Linked DNA regions of Styela clava. Each later gene encodes a partner of the first gene's protein in a complex. Links are inferred from orthologs where the notes say so. Each region holds a gene or a part of one and is shown in the gene's direction. Other genes may lie near its edges.

The links. The genes of interacting proteins can lie anywhere in the genome.
Region 2: A-kinase anchor protein 17A-like (region 1) and nuclear inhibitor of protein phosphatase 1-like share a complex: the UniProt entries of both Homo sapiens proteins name them as parts of the spliceosome. The link is inferred for Styela clava from reciprocal best matches to the Homo sapiens genes AKAP17A and PPP1R8.
Region 3: A-kinase anchor protein 17A-like (region 1) and splicing factor C9orf78-like share a complex: the UniProt entries of both Homo sapiens proteins name them as parts of the spliceosome. The link is inferred for Styela clava from reciprocal best matches to the Homo sapiens genes AKAP17A and C9orf78.

What each region holds. Positions count from the first base shown.
Region 1 is NC_135263.1:13,031,514-13,039,714, reverse strand, and holds the start of A-kinase anchor protein 17A-like, read left to right. Parts: upstream 1-4,489; 5' UTR 4,490-4,636; coding exon 4,637-4,753; intron 4,754-5,944; coding exon 5,945-6,057; intron 6,058-6,201; coding exon 6,202-6,301; intron 6,302-7,339; coding exon 7,340-7,492; intron 7,493-8,201. Other genes in the region: dynein light chain 2, cytoplasmic, read left to right, coding at 127-315. UniProt on the Homo sapiens protein: Splice factor regulating alternative splice site selection for certain mRNA precursors. Mediates regulation of pre-mRNA splicing in a PKA-dependent manner.
Region 2 is NC_135257.1:22,033,373-22,041,643, reverse strand, and holds the start of nuclear inhibitor of protein phosphatase 1-like, read left to right. Parts: upstream 1-4,799; 5' UTR 4,800-4,962; coding exon 4,963-5,030; intron 5,031-7,363; coding exon 7,364-7,424; intron 7,425-8,196; coding exon 8,197-8,271. UniProt on the Homo sapiens protein: Inhibitor subunit of the major nuclear protein phosphatase-1 (PP-1). It has RNA-binding activity but does not cleave RNA and may target PP-1 to RNA-associated substrates. May also be involved in pre-mRNA splicing.
Region 3 is NC_135253.1:1,232,713-1,240,185, forward strand, and holds splicing factor C9orf78-like, read left to right. Parts: upstream 1-5,058; 5' UTR 5,059-5,115; coding exon 5,116-5,994; 3' UTR 5,995-6,501; downstream 6,502-7,473. Other genes in the region: GPI alpha-1,4-mannosyltransferase I, catalytic subunit-like, read left to right, coding at 6,817-7,473. UniProt on the Homo sapiens protein: Plays a role in pre-mRNA splicing by promoting usage of the upstream 3'-splice site at alternative NAGNAG splice sites; these are sites featuring alternative acceptor motifs separated by only a few nucleotides. May also modulate exon inclusion events.

The sequences.
Region 1 (8,201 bases):
GTAGAGATTTTGGGATAGCGTATATCAACAGAGTGGCGATGTAAATCTTTCCGTGCTTTCCAAATATCGATCTTGTAATATAAAAGGTATATCCTTAGTATAATAAAGATATATTACTATGTTTAGGCTTTGGAAAAATACAACATCGAAAAGGACATAGCTGCTTACATCAAAAAGGAATTTGACAAAAAATATAACCCAACATGGCACTGCATATGTGGACGAAATTTCGGAAGCTACGTCACCCACGAAACGAAGCATTTCATATATTTTTATTTAGGCCAAATCGCCATTCTTCTTTTCAAGTCAGGATAAAACCCGTAACAAACATTATGATACTTATCATAAATACATGTACAATTCACTGTTCACTGAGTGTTTCCTATTGTGCTCACTGTGCAATGTGATCAACAATTTTGCTGTCTTTGATGTAAAAATTTTCTACTTTATTTCTATTCCATTTTGTATAACTCTGTCTAGTTATTTTCGTCTTCAAAGCGACGTGTGATGTAAATCCTAGCGATATCATATTTGACTGAGACAAGTAGTGAGATAGTAGTGAACTGGCGAGTTTGAAAACACCGATTAGTAAGCTTTACATAGTTAGATTCGAATAATTATGGTTTATTTTTATGCCATTTCAAAATATCTGCGCTTTACATCTGGGCTGTTATCAACTTACCGTCTCGCTTTCCTGGCGTAATGAGCGAAAATATTTTTATGACTTGATAAAATTTACGTTTGTCTCCCCAAGAAGTTAGATATTGCTCCACAATTTTCAGATTCGCAATTATTAAATTTACACGACCTCAAGCTACAGGAGTAAAAACATTAGCGCCAGTGTTATGGGGACTACCTTGTGAACTCAAATAGCACCAGCTTAATCATATTACAACTCTGATGAAATGTAGTCTTCAAGACAATTACAGTAGATTCATAGAATACGGACGTCAGGTCGGGTATAAAATTAGCAGACCAGTTAGGTACATACGGACCAGCAAACGTATCAGCCATTACCACTGTATTTGACGCAGAGGTAGTCAGTCACGCGATGGAAATCGTATTTCCTAACGCTCATCACGGTACATCAGAAGATTGCTTTTAAATTCATAGCCTTAATCGTTCGGTTACGTCTGTTTTCAATTTCAAGACAATCCAGACGATAGGCATACTAGGTAATATATATATTAGCACAGATCTTGATGTCGAGGATATTTGCCAATTCTTGTACTGTCACTTGTCCACTCAAGCTGTGCAATTAATTAATATGTAAAAAAAACTTGAAGAGAAGTGTCATTAGAAAATTGAGCCATAAGAATGTAAACATTATCTTTGTGCATAGATGATGCAATAGAAAATATTGCGAAGTACAGAATTTTCTGTGGGACCTTGAGTGTGTTTGGATGTACAATCTCAATTTTTATAAGATAGGCTAATGCGCCATAATTGTTTCAAGAATCAACATTTGCATTTATTTTTGAAGTTTGTTTTTCTAGTTATTTGGGTATCTAAGGATAATTTTGCTGTCATTGCATCGATCTCAGGATCTATATTTAAATTCCGTGTTTCCTAAGAACCACCAACGATTTGTCGTACAAAATCAAGCAGAACGACAAAATATATATCGTCACGCTAATAACCGAATTGCGTAAGTCATTTTTCGCAGTTTTGAGAAAAACGTAAAAAACTTCCTAATGATATTGTTATGCCATTGAGAGTCAATAATTTGCCATGGTTCAATTTTTTTTATCGTAGTCGGATTTAAGTTAATTTGTATGACGCAGTTAAGTGACGTCATAATGGCGCACTGTGACTTAGGCAGAAATGTGTCTATGACTTGGGGACTAACGCAATTTTGCAACTTCACTATATGCACCAGTCTTGAAAACTAAACATTCCAAAAACGAATATAATTCTCAGTATCTACAATGTCTTATCCCCAAAATAGCTAATCAGTTCCAATTAAATTATTTTTTATGTTTAAAAATAAAGCCAACCAAGGTAAATTGGACTCGGGACAGTAAATATCACAAGTGCACGTCTTCCTATACTGTAGTAAAAATTCAAATTAATACGCGCTAAGCTAGAATCCGAGAGGCAAAAACTCAAAAATACGTCGCCGAGGTTATTTTGCTTTTGTGACGTCACAATAGTCCTGCGGTAACACTGATAATTCATTATGACGAAACAATTGCACAAATGTGCATGTCATACTAAATCTCCATGGGTTTCGGAATTCCTAAAATAAAATCTGAGTTAACCGAAAGGTGCGCAGCATTACATAAATACCCATTTTATAAAAAACTCAAAATCGCCAAAAAGGACTCACGCAATTCGGTTATTAGCGTTACGATATTTTCCATGATTTTTTTTTTTGTCTCATATCGCTTAACTACGTATATATATGTCATCAACAGAAACCTCAAATTTTCTCCGATTTGCCTGAACAACAAAATTAATTTTTCCTAAATTTCCAATATGATGTCTAATGTGATGTTGGTAAAAAACAAATCTTACAGTTTAATTGAGCTTTCAGAAACATATTTCGTCCAGTCATTAACAATTTCAAATTTCTTCCTCAGATTATTATACCAAGGATTGAAATAATTAGATGCAAATTCCAATCCGCACGGCGAAGATAATTATCCGTATTAGGTTAATAATAAGAGTTCCTGCATGTGACGTGTCACGCTATTACGTTTGTTATTAATATTGATTCGCTGTTTAATTAAGGTGTATAAACACTGCTTGATATCTTTTCAGTGAGGTTTTAGGATTGTATTCTGTACTATTGTCGAAAACTACAATAAAATCTATAAGTCTGTCTACTCATCAAAGTTGGGGGTAACCCATGCTGTGATCGTTGGTACAGAAACGAATTACGAGTTTGGGACAAAACTTTTGTCAGAAAATTCTGGGTCATCTAATACAATTCTGACCAACAAATCGTATGTTGACACTTGACAGAATTCATCACTAGATATTGCGCTGCTACAGCGTAGATAAAAATGCTATTTTAAGTAATTATCAGAGCCGTGCTGCAACCTTTAGAAGACCATTACATCAATATTCTTCGAATGTTAGACAATTTTCAAGTTGTCCCGAACCGTATTGATCAAGTTTGTTACGAAACATCGAAAAAATCTCAGGTTTGGGCTCATTCATGATCAGGGAATGTTACGAACGATTTGAAATACACTTTTCGTGTTTTAATTCTTTGAAAAATAACAAATTGTCTCGGATCAAATACAATTAGAATTGACTACAAATCAATATAAAATTACTACACATTATGCTAGAAAAATAATTGGCCCAGTGATTTTTTGTCCCTTCCAGCATAAAAATTATTCACGAACAGCTATTGTCGTATGTTCTTTTTTTTGTTTGATTGTAACATCAACAAAACTTGAGCAAATAAAGTATAGGGATAGTTTATTTCAAAGCTCATGTTTTGTGCATTGGTATACAGTAGCCTATATCTAGCACGCAATATCGTTTTCAAGTTTTATCCATTGTTAGTTGTTGGCAAGAGATGTAACTACTATTGTTGTGCTATTTTTATGTCCATATACTCTTTCAGTCACACGTATTGTCCTATCAGTACCGTTCTGATCAGTTTTTTAGGGAAGTTATATAAAGCCTTTTGGTATTTCAAAATTGCTTCCCGAGCAATACCGTGATATTTTCCTTTCTCGCGTTCGGTTGTGTTATGTCGCTTAAAATTACATTCTTTCTTGACAGCTATCACTTGAAAACACACCGGCCGCTGTGGTTTAACGTTGTTGTGGATAAGGGAATACGTTTTTTCATTAAACTCGTTGTATGATGAATTGTTATATTTGACTAATTTTATAACTCATAGATCGTGAGGCGCAACGTCAGCTATGTGGTTCGTCACTGCTGTCTTGAAAATAGAGTAGTCTTTTTATTGAAATGAAGGCACAAAACGTCTCGCGAGCTTAAGGCACTGATCTTAGATAAAATGACAATTCACTTCCTTGTACTGATAACAGGACGCCACGCGAGTTTGACATCCCTGGTTTAGTGCACGTTAAAATTGTTCTGGAGACGTACGAAATGTGTCGATGGGCAGCAGTTTGGACCACCCTAACCTAACAAATGATGTTTTGGCAGTTTTGCGGAAATTTAGATGTAAATCAAAATGCCTTCTTCCGAGTTCTGATTTACCGTGTTTCCCCGAAAATAGGACAGGGAATTATCTCAATTTTCTCTCGAAAAATAACACAGAGTGATCATTGAATTATCTGATTTAGATTTAAATTTCCGGAACACAACTGAAAAGAAAATCGATTTTATATTAATGAAGACGAAAATTACCAAGAACAACAACAAAATATCAAAACGATCCATAGGTCCACCCACTTGTCCAATAAACAATTCTGTGAGCTCCCGCTCGTGAAAGCACTTGCAAAACGAGCTTAAAAATTTAGCGAGGTCAAGGGTCGACTAAACAACAACAAATAACTTGTGCTCCAACCAAATGGCCCCCTAAAGGCGCCAGAGTACTGTAATGCATTCAGGTTGCAGGTTCGTGTTTTACTGTTTGTGATTTTTACTTAGTCTGCATTTCGCCATTTTCAAGCTGGGTAAGGCACGTTCAAGGAATACTGTGGAGATGAATACAACGCTTGTAAGCGATTTATCAGACGTGGAAAATCTTTGCCCGTCGCTGAATCTACATTTAAAGCCGTACGCTAAAGTTAATGTCTGCGTTGCGTTGCCGCAAATGAAGGTAAATTTTGAGAATGTAGAGCTGAGCTTCAACTGACGTAATCTACCATTGGCTGCATAATCCAGTAATGAGATAATGCAGTACGATAATGCATTGGACTTGCACCAAACCGCCTAACCCTGTAACCTCCATAACTTCTGGAGAAATGAATGAAATAGCCAATGAACACCTGTACAACACGCATATTTCGGCTTGTATTAACAAGCCAAAACATATGTCAATAAAAAAATATATGGGCCTCTTGAAATGTGAGACGCTTTAATAGGTACCTTTATCACGTTCTGTTTGCTCTGATTAATTGACTTGACCTATGTAAAAATCCACATCTGCATCATCTTCACCGTTTTGTAGACTGGACTGTGCATCAAAGCCCCAGTTGGGATGTTCCCTTTAAATAATTTTACACTTGTGTATTCAAGTGTTTCAAATTCTGTTAGTTTCACGCTAGGTTTTTCACGGGGCCTTGGTAGATTTGCATGTAGGCTCAGACATTTGGTGTGCATACGTCACTGATTGAACGCCAGGATTTTTCATTTGCACGCCTTATTTATTGGGAAGAAGGCCATGAAATCCAGACTGGTTGAAGGTGTAAGATCGCAGTTGTACATATTTGGCAGTACATATTCTGAAAATGATTATGTCTCTATGTCTCTTTTTTGTACTAAATGCTAAAATGACTGAACTATTGAGTGGGAGTGGTGACTCCTCTGCGGCCCATGGGCCGGGGCCACGGCCCATCGAATTGGGCCTCGGCCCATCAGGCTATGGGCCGCGGCCCATCAAGTTGTGTAAAGAAACTATTCACTTGGCTAACACAGACAGTCCCCGAACTCATAATAGAACTATAATGTAAAAAATCTGAATTTTTTTTGTCCTAACCCTAACCTGGTACACATACTACAGGAGTATATTTTTTTGGTTTGAATATTGACAATTTGGTAAAAATTGAAAATTTTGTTAAGATAATTGAATTTTTCCTGATGGGGCCATGTGGCCCAATTAGATGGGTCGTGGCCCCGGCCCATGGGCCGTAGAGGAGTCACCACTCCTGTAGGAACTATTCTCCCCAATCTGCCCTATTCATGTAAAAAGTTACTACCGAAAGACTGGCCTGGTCTATTCATATATAGCCTGATTGTATTTTGTTTTAGGCTTTGTTTTTGCGTACCTAACTTGATTTTATTTGTTTAGGTTGTTGGACAGACGATATCAAACTGGGAAGTAATGGAAAAGTTAAAAACAATGTGCACCCCTCACCAATTCACATTGCTTCGAGTGGCAAAGAGTAACTTGGAATTTGTTAGGTTGTAGTTTTATGATATACCTTGTTTTCTATTTAATTGGGGGTCAATTGTATACCAGATCTGATGTTTGGCAGAATTGTTTTACCTTGATTACATCGAAATGATTCTGTAAATTGTTTAAAATTATTGTTTTTTGTTGTCTAGATTTGAAGGTGAAGTGGAAAATAAATCACTAGTTTCTACATTTGTTTCAATGTTGGATGGAAAACATATCAAATTATCTGGGTTTTCGGGCTTGCTCAAGGTACAACAATTTTTATTTTGTTTTCATAAAGTGGTCCGTGTGACTTTATTAGAGCTTGACAATCCTTGCCTACATGAACTGTTCAAAAAATTGAGAGATCTCCAAAATTAGGGGTTCTCAAAACTGTTGAGTGTTAAGAGTTAAAAATGCACATCCCAATACCTTGTCTAGTTAATTATAACGGATTCAGTTTTTTCTTTGTGTACTTCTCAGCAAAATGATAAACAACCATAAATATAGATAAAATTGTAGCCCGAGAAATTCAAAATTGCATTTAGAAGGGTCACAAATTCAGAACTAGTTTGATGACATTATTACCGTATATGCTAACCGTATTATTATTACTGTACAACAGCAATCAAAATGCAAGAGTGCAATTATTTGTCATGGTAATAGATGGATAATACAAGTTCCACTGAAAGAAGGTATTGCCACCATAAGGACCCCCAATCCATTCCTGTGATTACTAACTCCACAGCTTCAAATCGATTCTAATTATAAAACTAGCGTTTTCTGTCGATACTAACTTTTTCTCATCGTGTACACTCTTGAAAAGTCATTTTAAATGTTACTCCGTATAATAACTTTTCAGTTATGACCATGCATGAAATGGCTAATCATATGGGAAATATTGGGAAACCAGTTATGCATGGGCGAGATCATAACCCAGATTGAGCTTACTATTGCGATACCCTGTTGATGTCGAAGCATAAAGACTAGCCATTGTCACAGTTTTGAATATCGCTTGAAAGAATATCCTGAGCTCAGTTAAAAATATGTTAAATAAATTACTGCTGATATTTGTACAGCTTTCTTATGTGAGAAAATTTTAAATGGTTTACCCGTCTGCAAAATTGGTTTTAAAATTTCATGGTCCGCAAGCTGAAAATAGTTGAAAACCATTGATTTAAAATAGCAGATTTTTCATTGTTGACCTTCTCTGCTCGCGTTTCTCTACATAACTCGAAAGTAATTAACACATCAAATAAATTGTGATGAAAAATATTAGCTAAATAAGTTGCATTTAACATCATTTAGGTGACATGTGGAGAAAGCAAAATACCATTTCCATCTCGTCATGACTGGGATTCATATTTTCGTGATTCAAAAGATTATGATGAGACTCAGCCAGGAGAACGTCCAGACACAGTACACATAAGCAATATACCCTGCAAATTTTTTATGCCAAAGGTGGGTATTGTATGACTGGTTTTGTGCACACGTCCTAAAATATTATTTTTATTTAAACAAATATGAATTGTATGATTAAAATTGTTCATGTCTTACTAGGGGTTGTCAGAGAATTTGCTCAAAGCAATGTACCACGCACACACTATGAAGCATATTCATTTTGTTCTCGAATATTTTTCATCAAACTGTTCTGTATCAAAAATTGTGCTGTATGCAATATTTTGTCAGTAAAAACTTCTAATTTGGAAAGACCTACTAATATGACGCTTATCCACACCTTTCACTCTAAACAAGGCACTGTACATGTAGCCACTGATATCTAATGACAAATAAGGAGCTATTATTTAAAAGAACCTAAATCTTCCTAGTTCGGCATTTCTATCCAATTTATTACACTCTGGATGGGGTTGTGGTGTTCTGCCAACACAGTTAATAGGTCTTAAGTGCTGGGCCCTCATGCCCATAAAATGATTCATCCTTTATTATATTCAATCTGAGGTTATATCTCGAATGGTAAATTATGCTAGAAGTCTGGAATATGACTTATACGAGGTGTGGCTAAAAAGAAACGAGACTGACGTCACAGATTGCGCAACACGATTAACCATTGGTAATCAACACTTTTACAGTGTGGTGTAATATGTGTTCTTTGTTCAACAGCTTTTTTGACACAATATCGCAATTATTTTTGCTCTTTAGGAGCCATAGG
Region 2 (8,271 bases), on another chromosome or scaffold:
ATTCGCGGTCATGCATCAAAATTCTTCCAGAGCTATTTAAGCTCACGTCAGCAATATGTCAAAGTAGGGACAAATTGCTCCACATTCTCAACTGTGCAATGCGGAATTCCACAGGGCACAATAATCGGCCCATTAATGTTCGTATTATTCGTCAACGATCTTCCTCATGCCACCAAATTATTGGTCAAACTCTTTGCTGACGATACCGGATTATTCGGTAGTTCAGTTTCACCAAACAACTTGAAAATGCACATGAACTCTGAAATACAAAATATTGCAACCTGGATGACTATCAATAAACTAACTAAATATTGCAAAATCCAAATCCCTTTTCATTAACTCCAATAGAAATGACAGAAGTAGGTACTTGTTCCAAATTTCCATTAATTAATGGCATTTTACTTGATAATGTGGACTCCTACAAATACTTGGGCATACACATTGGTAATCGGTTAAAATGGGCAACACACATCAACTACATTGCTGGCAAGCTAGGTAGAAAAGCAGGTATATTATTTAAACTTGAAAAATTTCTCACCACATCGGCTTTGCGATTAGTTTATTTTTCGCTCTTTCAGTCATATCTTCAGTATGGTATTGTAGCATGGGGAAGCGCATCCTCCAACTTACTTCGCAGATTGGAGGTGTTGCAAAATAAATCGATCAGAGCTATAGGTGATGCACCCTTACGATCCAGACTTGACCACTTGTACCATAAATTTAAAGTAATGAAACTTTGCCACGTCCATGAATTCGAGGTATTGAAACTTATCAACCAGTACTTTGACAACAAACCTCCAAGAGCATTTGTAGGGTATTTCACCAAGCAAACTAGCGTTCATTCGTATTGCACAAGATCGGATCACAAGGTGCCTTCCATGTATCCAGATACACACATGTAGAACGCAGAAATCCATCAAATACATTGGTGTGAAGTTATGGAACAATATATCAGGTACCCTAAGATCACTCTCTTATCATGGTTTCAAAAGAGAACTAAAAATGAAGTACATTAGTGACTACCTTTCTTTGAATTGATAATTAACCACTACCGGTACCTGTACTGCTTTTCTTTGCAACAAACCCCCAAGCCCTATTTTTCTGACCAAACATTCGATTCTGTCTATCCACGCTCTGTTCTGCGGGAAAATCAGATGTGCGTGGAGTCTGACTTTCTGAGAATCAAATTTTTAATTGCTTGCTTACACCATGCCAGTGATCAGGACAATGGCTGATCCCGCTTGAGTAATTAATACAGTATATTATTTTTTATTTATTTTCCTTTCTATATATCTAATGAATTTGTACAGTGCATTAAGTTGCATCGTTGGTCGTGGATTTTAAGAAACATGCTCATAACTGGAATGTTTTGCTTTTGCAAACCATTCATGAAACATATTTGTTAATATTATGTTTTCCGAAAATGCTGCTTTTTTTTTCTTATAATATTTTTTGAAGTGTTTTGGTGTTTCATTAACTTTTTGTGCTCACTAACCTGAATCAGCGAGCTTTTAAGGTGTCGCTGCCTGAAGACCTTATGAGGTCCCTCGCGACTCCTGTCACACAACTTAAGTTAAGTTCATATTGTATTTGAAATGTTTTTTTCTTATGATACGTTTATTTTGTGCTGACGAATAAAATGATGATTGATTAATTGATATCAGTTTTATATTCTGTATCATTTGTCTTCGACTTATTTGGTGCTAAATATTTCATTTATATTTTAGTCAACCGTTTTGAATATTCTCAATAAAACGAGTCTGGCAAATCGACTTATCATTTCCGGGTCCCAAAAGTGACACTGAGTACTAAAATAGACGAAATACTGGCCAAAACCATATGCAACACGAAGAAACTTTGGCAGCATAAATGCCAAGATGGCGGCGATCAAATGATCCCGCGGCGAGACAACGCAAAACGAGAGAGAAGATCGTTCCATGTTTTTTCAGTTCAATGGTATCATATCATTGAAATGCGATGGTGAGAGCAACCGCCACACGGTGCGCAATTTTTTTAATCCTGGTGACATCGTCACACAAAACTTCAGGGTGGTAAAACGAATCCCATAAAACCCATGGAAATTTTAAAATAAAACGAAAGTAATAAGCTTCATGCACAACAACAATCTTTAACCACTTTCAATTGCCTAATTGATTCTAAGCGATTGGCCCACTAATAGGGTAGGATAGGATTTATATATTTATCCCGAGGGGGGGGGGGGGGAACCGATAGGACGGTTTACCAAAATGACGAACCACGGCCTCGGGTATGGGATTAGTTAACTTAGTCATTTGTTTTCGGTAGCATGGACTTGATGGTGGAGGAAGCCATAACCGACCAGCAGTTACGGAAACCACCCCACGGCGGCGAAGAGTCCAGCGATCCTCTCGCACGTAACCATCTCTGCTTGAGATTCGAACTTGCTAACCCACGCAGAGTAATCAGAGGTTCGGTGGCAAGCGTATTCCTAACGCTTAGCACGATGAGCCACACCGCCGCGCCGTGAAACCGTAGGGCAAAATTTATACAACAACAACATGAAAAAAAATCCATTTCGTGTCCAATAACAGTACTAACTGCTTAAATTCCTAAACTTTAATCAATCAATCAGCCAATCGTTTATTTGTCATTACAAAAACAAGTTCAAATAAAAACTGATGCAATGAATAAATAAATAATAGTACTAATTATGTTAGTTGTGTGACCGGAGTCGCGAGGGACGTATGGAGGTCTTCAAGCAGCGATACCCACAGCGCTGTTACAGGTTAGCCTAAAAAGTAACATGAATGAGGTATAAAATATATACATCCTAAGAATCCCGGGATTTGGACTGTTTTTTTCAATCCCGATCCCGCAATTATTTCCTAAATATCCCGAGAATTTAATTAAGGCTTTATTATCCACCTATAGATATTCTCACAGATGGTAGGTTATACTATTTTATATAATACTTATTTTGAAAAAAACAATCCACGCTCACAGTTTGAGTGGAAGTAGAATTATTGTGTGAAATTTTCCTCAAATTGTGCCAAGGAATTATTATTTGACTAGTAGAATTGTCATTATTGCCGACTTATTTAATTATAATTTGAACTCAAAATAGCATTCAGGATGCACACAATGACTTCGCAGTGTTTTAATTCACTATATACGAAAATAAAACAGCCACACAGTTGAAAAGTGAAGTCAAGAAGGTCAACTATCGTCTTCATAAATATCCGCATTCCGGCGTCAGAAATGATAATATTTTTAGCTTAAAATTGGGACAGTTAGTTTACAAACGGTGACAAGAAAGATCCAAACCGACCTAAAAGTTGAAAATCGGAATAAAATCTCGAATTCAACCCGATATTTGACAATTCGTTAAAATTATTAGATGAAAATATACTATTTTGACCACCCTTGCGATCTGTAATCACGCCAGTAAATAATAAAAGAAATAGTAATAAAACCAATATTAAAACGCGTGGTAGTCCAAACACTGATGCAATGAAACTTAATAAATCCTCCATGAATTTAGTAAATTGCACTACTTCACAAAAGCGTGGTGGAATTTACGATTATTCCATACCTCGAACACAAAAACGGTCATCTTTTTCAGATAGTTTCTGCGGTCTGAAAAGTTGAATAAGCGTTTCGACATAGTAAATGCTATGATCTTTGCCATCAAATTTATGTTCGGGCTTTCCAAAATCGGAAATTCCAAACGTGAAAAGATATGTCCAGCTGTAAAAATCGTTTATAACAACTTTAAACCTATTTAGTGTTTTTAGCGATAATAATTAATTGTTGTAATGAAATACAGTTTGTTTGCCACTTTCAATTCTCTCGCAACTGCCGACAATAGCTCTATTGAATGATTTTTGGTAATGGGAGAAAAATATTGAATTGTAACAAAAATGAATAAGGTTGTGAAAAAGTGAGAATACATGTGATAATGATAAGGGCGTAACATGGAACAGGGAAGGGCGAGCAAAACCGAAGCGCGTGATCGGCGGTGCGTCTGAAGACCACGTATTACCCGTGAGGCCGCGCTACTTTTAGAATAATGTGAGGTGCTCCGAAGACGCTCTCATTCATGTTTAAGAAAACAGTTCTAATATCGGTAACTGTTAACCATTTGTTCGCGTTCGACTATTGCACTCTTTATGGGTAGAAAATGTTCGTGTTTTGTGATAGGTGTGCCGCGAATATTTAAAGAGCTAAATAGTGTGCCACGATATAACAATGGTTGGGAACCACTGCCCTAGATGCCCTAATATTTCTGCGTCGATATTACATGAAAGAAATACATGATTTTATTGTCATGCAAGATGTTTCAATCTTTACTTTATACGGCTCAATCCCGGGATATATCGATACCGGGATTTCAAAAACTTGTTCCGAAATCCCAACCCTTGTCGCACCTGATGCAAATACAGTAGTTGCGACATTGAAATTGATTACTGCGATTTTTGAACCTTGGTTGTCCCCGTAATTTCCTTTTCCATTAAAAATGTGTACTTATTTATTTGCTCGTAATTTGTGTACGATTGATTTTTAATGCTTGACTTCGAATCTCGCAAATATAAATATGTACTGTATGATCGAAATGGTCAGCGTACTCGGTTACAGTTTTTTATCAGCAAGTCTATGTATCTAGAACGAGTAAATATTACCATGCGCAACATGGATTTGAACCCACAAAAAAGGCCGTCGATGGCAATATCGTAATTTTATCAGTTCTTTCTTTCTCCACCATAATCATGAAATATTTTCCTAATCCTAACAGTAATCTTATGAAACTCAAACAAAATGGAATTTTCATTTCCCAATATATATTGACTCCATCCACCTCTATATTGTCTGCAAGTTCGGTTGTGTGTGCATGTTGATAGATATTTTGGATAGCTTTCGATTAGATTCTTGGAAAATGTTGCACGTTTGAGAGAGTGGTTTAGTTATTGAGGCTTGGATATTGAAATGACGGCAATTAAACCTTCCGGGAAATTTGCTAATCCAGCGAAAGTGGATTTTGAAGTTCCTTCTTGGTGAGTTTCCTTGTTTTTTACTTACTGACAGTATGACTTAAGATATCATGTTTCATATAGGATTTTGATATTCAGCCTGTTAGCAGGTTGGGGAGGAATGGAAATGGCTTATTGCTATGGCGAACCTTGAACTGTTGTCCAGTTATCAGTTCATGTCCAATATGCAGATATGGGTATAGGCGCGGCGGCGTGGCTCAACGGGCTAAGCGTTAGGAATACATTCGCCACCGCACCTCTAACTACTCTGCGTGGGTTCGCAGGTTCGAATCCCATGCAGGGATGGTTATGTGCGAGAGGATTGCTGGACTCCTCGCCGTCGTTGGGTGGTTCACGTAACCGCTGGCCAGACTGGATTCCATGGCAGATGCACGCCAGAAGGCGCTAGCGCTCCACAAAAATGCACGCGAGCGAATTCATTTTTGTTCACCGAAAATTTGCAATTGCTCATTGATGTAAATCGGTTTAAATAGTTTGTACATCAATTATCTAGTAATATAAAGATGCCAAAAAATTATAACTTCACAATTGTCGACTAATACTAGATTGCAAGTTTGGCCTGATCGAAAAATGCGAAGCAAAAAACACCATATCGTGTTGAATGACAGGAATCCAGTGAGAAAGATCGCCCCCTCACCGACGCTGGCCAGTTATGGCTTTGATTCAGCGTATTTTTCAAACAATAATTTTACACGGATGTACTGAACAGTACCGGTAACCCAGTCTGGATTTCATGGCCTTTTTGAACGAGAAATCGGGCGTGCAATCAGAAATTCCCGCGTGCAAATAAGAATTCCTGGCGTGCAATTATAGCTCAGGACGTGCAAAACAACTGCGCTCGCGTGCAACTGACTTTGACATCAGATACCTCTCAATACATCCGCGTAAAATTACCGGTATCGGAAAAAAATACGTTGAATCAGAGAAAAAAATGGACGTTTGACCTTTGACCCCAAATATTATTTTCATACTTTGTCACTAATTTTGGGAGTGTTTGAGCAACTTTAGATACCGGTACTGTTCAGTACATTCGTGTAAAATTATTGTATGAAAAATACGCTGAATCAGAGCCGTACTTGGCCATTGGTGCGGAGGCGATCTTTTCGTCCATATCTATTCTCACGGGATTCCTATCATTCAACACGATATGGACCTTTCCCCCGAGCATCGACTTCCTTGTTTACTTCGTGACATTGGCCAATCAGCAAGATGCAAAAAAGGACGTAACAACGAGAGGAATTTTTCGCGGGTCAAAGGTCGGGGAAAGGTCCATGGTCTTTTTTGCTTCGCAATATTTCGATCAGACCAAATCTTGCAAGCTGGTATTTGTCGACAATTGTGGAGTTATAATATTTTGGCATCTTTATATTACTGGATTATTGATTTTAAAACCATTTAAACCGATTTACATTAGTGAGCAATTGCAAATTTTCGGCGTGCAAAATTGATTTCGCTCGCGTGCATTTTTGCGGAGCGCTAGCGCCCTCGGGCGTGCACCTGCCATGGAATCCAGTCTGGCCGGTAACCAAAGTCGCACAACCACTCTCAAAATTAGCAACAAACTGTAGAAATAATGTTTGGGGGTCAAAGGTCAAACGTCCATTTTTGCTATGATTCAACATATTTTTTATCCATTTTTATTCCGGTAATTTTACGCGGATGTATTGAGAGGTATCCTAGATCGAAGTCAGTTTCACGCGGGCGCAGTTGTTTTGCACGCCGTGAGCTATAATTGCACGCCAGAAATACTTATTTGCACGCGGGAATTTCTGATTGCACGCCCGATTTCTCGTTCAAAAAGGCCATGAAATCCAGACTGGACCGCTGGTCGGTTACGGCTTCCTCCACCACCAAGTCCATGCTTCCGAAAACAAACAATACAGTAAATCTAATCCCATACCCGACTTGGAATGGTAACCGGACGAGAGGCCGTGGTTCGCCATATGAATAAGCCGTCTTATCGGCTTTCCTCTCCTCCGGGATAAATATGTAAATCCTATCCTATCCTTCACCCGTTACCCACATTTGTTTCAGATGCATGGACTTGATGGGCATATGGTTGAGAAAGCTGTAACCAACCAGCGGTACAGTACCGGTACCATAACATATGTGCGGCTCCGAAGAGTCCATCAAATCCTGTTATAATTGTAACTTTCATAATTATGTTATAATCCGAACTTATGTAGTCCAGTCAGTCGTGTAATAATATTTAGCACAATGCGCTGACTGTCAAGCCAAATACAAAAATAAGCTTTCAACTAGCAGTACAGCAGTAGGAAGTATACTGTACTATCAAACTATAGATTGCTATAGTTATTCTATGTTATTATGTTCAGGGCAGGAAAAGCACCTACTGGAACACATCTGAATGTCATGAAAGGAGAGAAGTTGGTTGAGGTGTGTTTGCCTGAGATTTTATTTTCAACAACTTATTGCCGAGGCGCATCATTTGAAGTGTTGAACTCCACTGTGCAGGACTCATGTATTTTACTGATGGAGATAAAATTCAATAACTTATCATACAGTATACCACACTATTTAAATTCCAAGAATTTCCCTCCATTTTGCTCTATAAAACGAACACTCTATGTGTCTCACAAACGAGGGGTGTCTGGGACCATGTCAGATGCGTCATATCACACTATGCTCGTCTCAATAATAATCTAAGTTAATTGCGGCCATCATATGACCATTTTTTGCTAAAAACTCTCGAATGCTACGGTAAAAAAATTTTCCTTTGGTAAATCGGAGTAGTTTTTCCCAAGGAATTCAATGATGACGTTACTGTATTGCGTTTTTTTGTAGTATTTTGCGCAACTTCATTATACTGTATTCTTACCGATATTGAGGGACAACAATGTCCAGACGTCTCCCAAAGGAGGGGTGTCTGATCATCTGTAAAATGGGTTTCTCTGAAACGGGAGAATGTCACCCGATTTGTATAGTGTGCCGTACTGTTACGGCAAAATTATGAAACTTGTGGAAGATTGCAACAGCCAGTTTTTCAATGATTATATATATATATTTCTATTTTCCCTAATCTTCTTTTCTATATCAAATTTCCTATTTCGAAATTTTTGACCTATTTGGTAAAAAGTGCAATGTTCCTCATCTTGCCCAATTGATAAAATTTGAAACAGTTGTTTAAATTTTATTTTTATATTTGCAGAAACTCATCATTGACGAGAAAAAATGTTACGTTTTCGGGCGAAACTCTGACTCATGTGATTTCATCACTGAACAT
Region 3 (7,473 bases), on another chromosome or scaffold:
AATTATATTAGCTGTAGGCGGTCGGTTGAATTTCAGTTTGTACTGCTCGCTCTTGCGTAGAATCGGGTAGCTTATAGATACTTACCATAGATATCAATTTTATTTGAGCCCTAGCTCATATAACGTTGTTAAATAGGTACGTGTCGACGGCTCTGGTACGGCGCCGAAAATAACAACTCAGTTGGTGGACTTGAAACAAATGGAATATAAAAGATAGGAACAGTTCACACATGAAATGATGGGCAACGTAAGAATAGGATTCGAATAATGTGGAAGAAATTATCAGGCATTTAAATGGAACTACGTTGAACTTACAAGACAGTCTCCACGTTGGATTTCATTCAAAATAAAGAATTCCATGCAAAGAAATTTACAACAACAAAGCACCCACGTCGTATTTTATTCATAATAAAGAATTCCGTGCGAAGACATTTGGAATTTTTTTTAATAATTTTGCTGACACTGTTTTCACCTAACACATTACTTCGCAGTTGTTTACCTCAATCAAGTTATTGGTTTACTTTGCGGCTGATGTAAACAAATCCGGACGATAAACATAGCCACATCATATCCGCTTGAACAGTTTTATATTGGAACTCACCATGCCTGCGGTGTGTTTATGTTACACGAGTTAGACGTCCGAATGATACACGTGTTTTTTTTATCTTTTTTATATGTGTTTGTGTGTGTTAGATGGGTAAACTGGCACATGTAATTCTACATGTTCTAAACTTTATTGAAGGTTTTGCCAATTTTCCCAAACTTGCCTGTGTTTCGTTTTTTCGGGGAAATTGAAATTAAATTATACGGTGCGGTAGACCTAGGAAGATATGCTCAAAACAATACGGCATTTTCATGCTTGTATGATCAATTTAACGACTGAGTTGAGATCGCTGATAGTTACTTCAGCATGTCCTGGGTATTTAAGACGTGAACATCAGTAATACATCGGTAAACTATATTACACGGAATTATCCCTGTATTATGAGGACGTCGAGAAAAGGATTTCCTTGGTACTGTGCGAGAAGTGTGCAAAACTCCCTATTGTGTTGTGTGGTCATCTGAAACGAGAGACTAAATACAAACTAAAAATTTAATCCGCAAATCCAATTAGCGACTGAAAATGAGGAAGTGATTATTGTAAGAAAGGAGCGAAGGCATAAGATATACATATATATATATATATATATATATATATATATATATATCACAAAATATAATGCAGAACATCATAAATTTCGTTTTCAAAGCTCTATTTTTGACCTGATAAATCCCAAAAATTTCGTTATTTTTCATTAAGGATGCTAATTATGACTACTTACAAGTATTCGATTCCTAAATTTCCGATTCTCGATTCCGAATATCGATTCTTCGACATATTTCACCGAGAAAACATACCTACCTAAGCAATACCATATAAAATCAAACAAGAGAGCTATGTTCAAATATATGCACGGAAAAGAAAACCAAAACTAAGTAGTATGGGTATCTAATCTGTCACAGGAGACAAAATCGCACAAAAAAAAGAATCCCTCAGAACCCAAAGGGATTCTAGAAATAAATAAACGTAAAAAACTTCTAGCAAAATATATATATAGTGAAGTTTGCGACGTCGTAGCAACTCAACATAGCAGTAAGGCAGTTTATACATATATATATGTGAAGAAATTGCCACAAAACGTTGAACATTGTTAGCAATTCAAGTTTTGACCTCGAAAATCGATTCCAATGCATCAGAATCGATTCTAGTCGATTCCGCGAAGAATCGATTCTGTATTCGAATCCGGACTCGATTCCGCCATCCCTATTTTTCATCGGATCGGGGACTATAGCAAATCCCAGCGGTTCCCAAATATGTGTTTGTGCTACGCCATATCGCCGCATTATTTCAAAGTTGCAATTGTACTCGTGGGATTTTATGACCGACCTTGGAATTTTGCAAATGATGATTTCTTAAAAATAATCTTAAGTAGCTCAAATTAATCAAATGACCAAGATCGCTCCTTTTCTTAATATATAATTAAATTAATTATAATATATATGAAATTGATATGGCAAGACATTTTTAATTCTAGTAATAGTCTTGAACTGAATATTTTGCGCAACAGAAAAACCATCAACGGTGAAAAAGTCGGCAATTTCAACAAATGGGTAATCACGACGACTGTTGCCATTGGAATTTCCGTTTCCTATTTTGGATACAAAATAAATTCAATCAAATAACACTTGCCTCCTAAATCCCAAGTTACAGTAATTTTGTTCGTAAACGACAGGAATGCGCATCATTTATTCTCTTTGATTTGAATAATCTATTTATCAAATACGGTCATCATGACCGCAATTGTTACATTGTGCTATCTTTATTATTAACGTTATCCTAGCCCATTAGCCCAGCTGTTAAGTTTTTTTTCTATCAACTTTCTTTGCGCTGCTGCCGTAATTTGCCAGCCCCTCTAATAACGGCCCATTGATTATTGTGTCTAGGGCTTATGGTATTTGCAAATAACCGTTTCTGATCATACTGAATTTTGATCATCCGGCCCACTCAGGAAAGTAATTACCCACCCCTGGCCTACACTATACTCAAGTGTATTCATCGGATATTCACGTGGGGAAGAGATGGGCCTAACTTGGCACGCAAGCACGGCTATCCGGTACGCGAGCGAGATCTCGGAATCTTCCTCTTCAAATTTAAAAGGATCGTATTATCTGATGGAACTCTGTGTTTGTTTTTCATCTTCGTTTGTTAACAATCTGTCATTTAATTGAACTAATTAGGAAATATGTTATGACGTAGGCCTAGCAACAAGCTGAGCTCCCAACCTTTGGCACATTTTTGCCGCTCCAGGGGTATGTGTACCAATATGGAGATTACTGATTTTGTTCGCCTATTCTACATCAAATTCTGCAAAAGAACTGAAACCTATGGGCACGGGGATATTCACTTGGTCAACACAGACAGTCCCCGAACTCGTTATAGAACCATAATAAAGAAAATCGGATTAAAATTATGGCCTAACCTTAACCTGGTACGAATACTTCGGAAATACCCATATTTGTTTATTTCGGCAACAATTACAAATCAGCAATAGGTTAACAATGACGTAGAAATTGGAATCTATGGCGCCGATCAGACACTTCTTTTGATCAGTCAGATATTCGAAAATAGTTGGGAACCAAATAACTTAATTGCCTATGCCTTCCGAGGATCTTCAGTTTAGTTACAATAATCGATACCGCAAATACAAAATTGATACCGCAAACGCTGCGATAGACTAGTCTAAAATTAGCTATCAGTACCTAGGAGGGGAACAAGGTTTATTGTTTTGAATAAAAATGATAGTTTTGGACGTGTGCGCTAGTTTGTAAGAGCCAACTCTCCAAAACACTCTCAAAATTAGCATTGAAAATTTTGTAATGATAAAGTATAGTGAGAATCTTTTAAGGGTCGGGGTCGGGGAAACGTCCGGCTACATTCTTACACAGTATAATCAATTTGTCTGTGTTCGTGTTATTCATTTCTACTTGATTTATGATTATGAAGCTGTAGATCGCATGCTGAATATACTTGCTTGTTAACTTCTCGGTATGAATTGATTTTCAAATCTACATCCTGATATGGCCATGAATCGCTGTTCTCGGTTATGAACTTTTCTCGTAATAGTTTCGTAACGGTCTTACTACTTACTGAATACAGCGCGAAACACCGCAAAGAGCGCAAAACAGTGCGAAACAGCGCGAAACAGCGCAAAACAGAGGGAAACAGCGCAAAACAGTGTGGAAACAGCGCAAAACAGCGCGAAAGAGCGCAAAACAGAGGGAAACAGTGTGAAGCAGAAAAATTTTTTGCAATGAGTTCGGGGCACCTTGTTTTGAGTTGGAGTACCACGGCAGCAAATTAAAAATACAAACCAACGTATGTAGCCAGTAATGCTGTAATGGCAGGTCTGCCCCTGCTGGTGACACATTTTGGGTACCATAATTTAGAACATTTTCCATATGGATATGGTTGGCTTTAGGGTTAGGGTTAGGTAAAAAGGGACCTCCAGAAGTATGTGCACCAAGATGGCGCACAACCTGAAAATAGTATGTGTGTGTGTGTGTAGCGGATTCAGGTTGTGCGACATATTGCTGCACATACTTCTGGAGCACCAAAAAGGTAGATAAAATTTCGCATGATGACCTATAATCCGGTACATAACCTTGTGAATATGCCGGAAATAGCGCCATAAAACCATGGCGAGAGGCGCCGTGGTTCTTTCGTGGCAGGAGGTGGTAATGACTGCGTCTCCTGTTTTGCGCTGTTTCCCTCTGTTTTGCGCTGGTTTCCTTCTGTTTCGCGCTGTTTTCCTCTCTTTCGCGCTGTTTCGCGCTATTTTGCGCTGTTTCGCACTCTTTTGCGCTGTTTTGCGCTCTTTGCGGTGTTTCGCTCTGTATTCAGTAAGTAGTAAGACCCCTATTATCATGCAGGTTTTGCACTGGAAGTACCTGTACCGGTAGCAATGCATTATTTTTGAGGTGAATAAATTCAATATTAGTTATGTTTTCACTGTTTGGAGGAATTTTCATCCATTCTTCAAGATCCTTCACATATAACTTTAAAAATGCCAGTAGCTACAGTAGTGGTAGCCTATGTTATCACAAATTCGGTTGATACTGGCACGCCGGAAAATTTTGTCATTTTTGGCAAGCAAACCAATAAAAGGTTGTATGACTAACATTCTTTTATTTCATGGTCTTTTTTTGGTAACAATTCCCATTTTTTTTCTGACTTCATGAATAAGTGCCTCGCTTATGTGGTGATCAATCGCGTATCACTCCTCCAATCCTCTGTTTCAAACCACATTATTGGGTTTAGTTATTGTACCTTACATGTTCAACATTTAATTTAAATATATTTAACTAATTCATGATTCTTTTAAAAAATATTACACCCATTTTCCCTTTTTCAAAGAGCTCAATTTTCAAGTGTCCACTTTTAGTTCGTCCCCCAGTACTGCGTTAGCTTTACTTTTGTTTTTTATTTTCCTAGAGCTGCCCTGAAAGACTTTTTTTTGATTATAAAAATTTTGTATAAATTTTTAGGTTCTATTTGGTAGAATACGGTACTGCAATATGAGTTCAGGTAAAAGGAGAAATATTCGTAGGAAAAGGCAGGAGTCTAGCGATGAAGATGAAGATAAATCTGTTGTAGGCATTGTGGAAATAACTCGAGAAATGCAAAAGATTCGCAAGCGCCAGGCAGGAGTGAATGCAGTTGCTTTGGCTACTGGTGCTAAAATGACAAATGAGCAAGAACTACTGATTGAAAATGATCCATTCAAACTAGGTACTGGTGGACTTATTGACATGAGAAGAGTGAAAGATAGAAATCGAGATCGAACATATGAAGATACAGATCGTGACGTGACAAATTTGGGAACAACTTTTTCAGCGGAAACAAACAGAAGGGATGAAGATGCTGAATTGAAAATATATATTGAAAAAGAATTACAAAAGCGGAAGGGTATCACGAATGATGATGAGAATAAAACTAGCAATATCAAATCGGCTGAAGATCAATTGTTTGCCCTTCCGGATCATTTGAAAATTTCTGTAAAAAAACAATCTGAGGAAATGTTATCAAATCAAATGTTGAGCGGCATACCTGAAATAGATTTAGGAATTGAAGCGAAAATTAAAAATATTGAGCGTACAGAGGATGCAAAACAAAAGTTAATTCATGAGCAGTTAAACAGAAAGAAGGCAAATTCTACATCATTTGTTCCAACTAACATGGCTGTTAATTATGTTCAACACCGGAGATACATGTGTGAAGATAATGATTTTGCAAAAAAGAAAGAACAAAAGCAAGAACAAGAACTTGCACCACTGGTTGTTGGTAACACATCTCGCCAACCTACAGTAGAATTGACGAAAAAGCGAGAAAATAAAGATAAAGCTTCGGATGACTTTCATTATGATAAATTTAGAAAACATGCTCGGAGATTTTAAAATATTTTTTAATTTAACCCATGATACATTGTGAGATTTATAATAAACCTGTTTTTTGCTAATCGGAGTTTGCGGTGCAATTCCAGTAATATCAACCAAATTGAGTGTAACAATGGCATTTCTAAATTCATATATATTACATCTAACTGGACCCAATGAATACACTCAAAGCATACAATATATGTATGGTTATTAGGAATATCTTTTGAAGATTGATGTAATTGTCTCGTAGTATCGATTCAGTTTTAATGGGTGTTGGCTGGTATAAATAAAAAATTAGTAACATATATCATGTTTGGTCTTTATTGATCAATTTTATGTAATACCATGCTTATTTAAACCAAGGTATTCTGTTGAATTCTAAATAATTAACTCTATAATGAGAGTGATTCATTATGCCAAATTTTAGTTACAAAAAATAATTTCAATATTGTATTTATGGATGTCAAATTATTTTTGTTTAACGCTCAATAACTGCCCCAAATTATTGCTTTCTTTGTTTTACAGTTGGCAGTGCAAGTGGGGCATATTTTGTTGGTCTTGTCTTTCAAGTTATGAATAGTATCGGTGAAGATTGCACACCCTTGAAGTGGGAATACGATAAATGCTTCAATCAGTGGTTTAGGGAAAGCTATTTGAAAAATAAAAGTGTAACACATGAAGACGCATGTGGAACTCTTTTTCAGAGTTACAAAAATTGTGTTAAAAAGGCATTGAAAGAACAAGGAATTGATTTAACAGATTTAGAAAAGTCAATGTTGAAAGGAGAAGATGGAGGATTTTCATCAACCCAAAGTTAACCTTTGATATTTTAACGTAATCATGGATATATCATTACAACAGTTGCATTTATGTGCTTTTTTCATACGTATTGGACTTATTGTGTATGGTGAATGGCAAGATAAAAACTTGGAACTCAAATTCACTGATGTCGATTATCATGTTTTCACTGATGCTGCTCAATATGTCTTTAATGGAGAGTCTCCTTATAACAGACCCACATATAGATATAGTCCTCTACTCGCATGGATGTTGGTGCCTTGTCATATTATTCATATTCTGTGGGGAAAACTAGTTTTTATTTCTGCTGACTTATTAGCTGGATGGCTTATACAGAATACAATGGCAATAAATCATGATAAAGGAAAACTTACTAAAATAGCTTTATCTATATGGCTTTTTAATCCAATATCTATGACTATATCAAGTAGAGGAAATGCTGAATCGATAATGTCAGTTCTTGTTTTAGGTACATTATACCTGGTATCCAAGGAGCGATTAATTTTAGCTGGCATTTTTTTTGCCATATCTGTCCATCTCAAGATATTTCCTCTAGTTATCGCTCTGGCTGTCTATCTTTTTTTAGGGGACGGTTTTGAAGGTCGACATAATAAACTTTATGTTCATGAATTTTTAGCTATTCTGTCTCCGTGTGGTGCTGTGAATGTAATCAAAAAAGTTTTTTCAAAAGAGAGGACT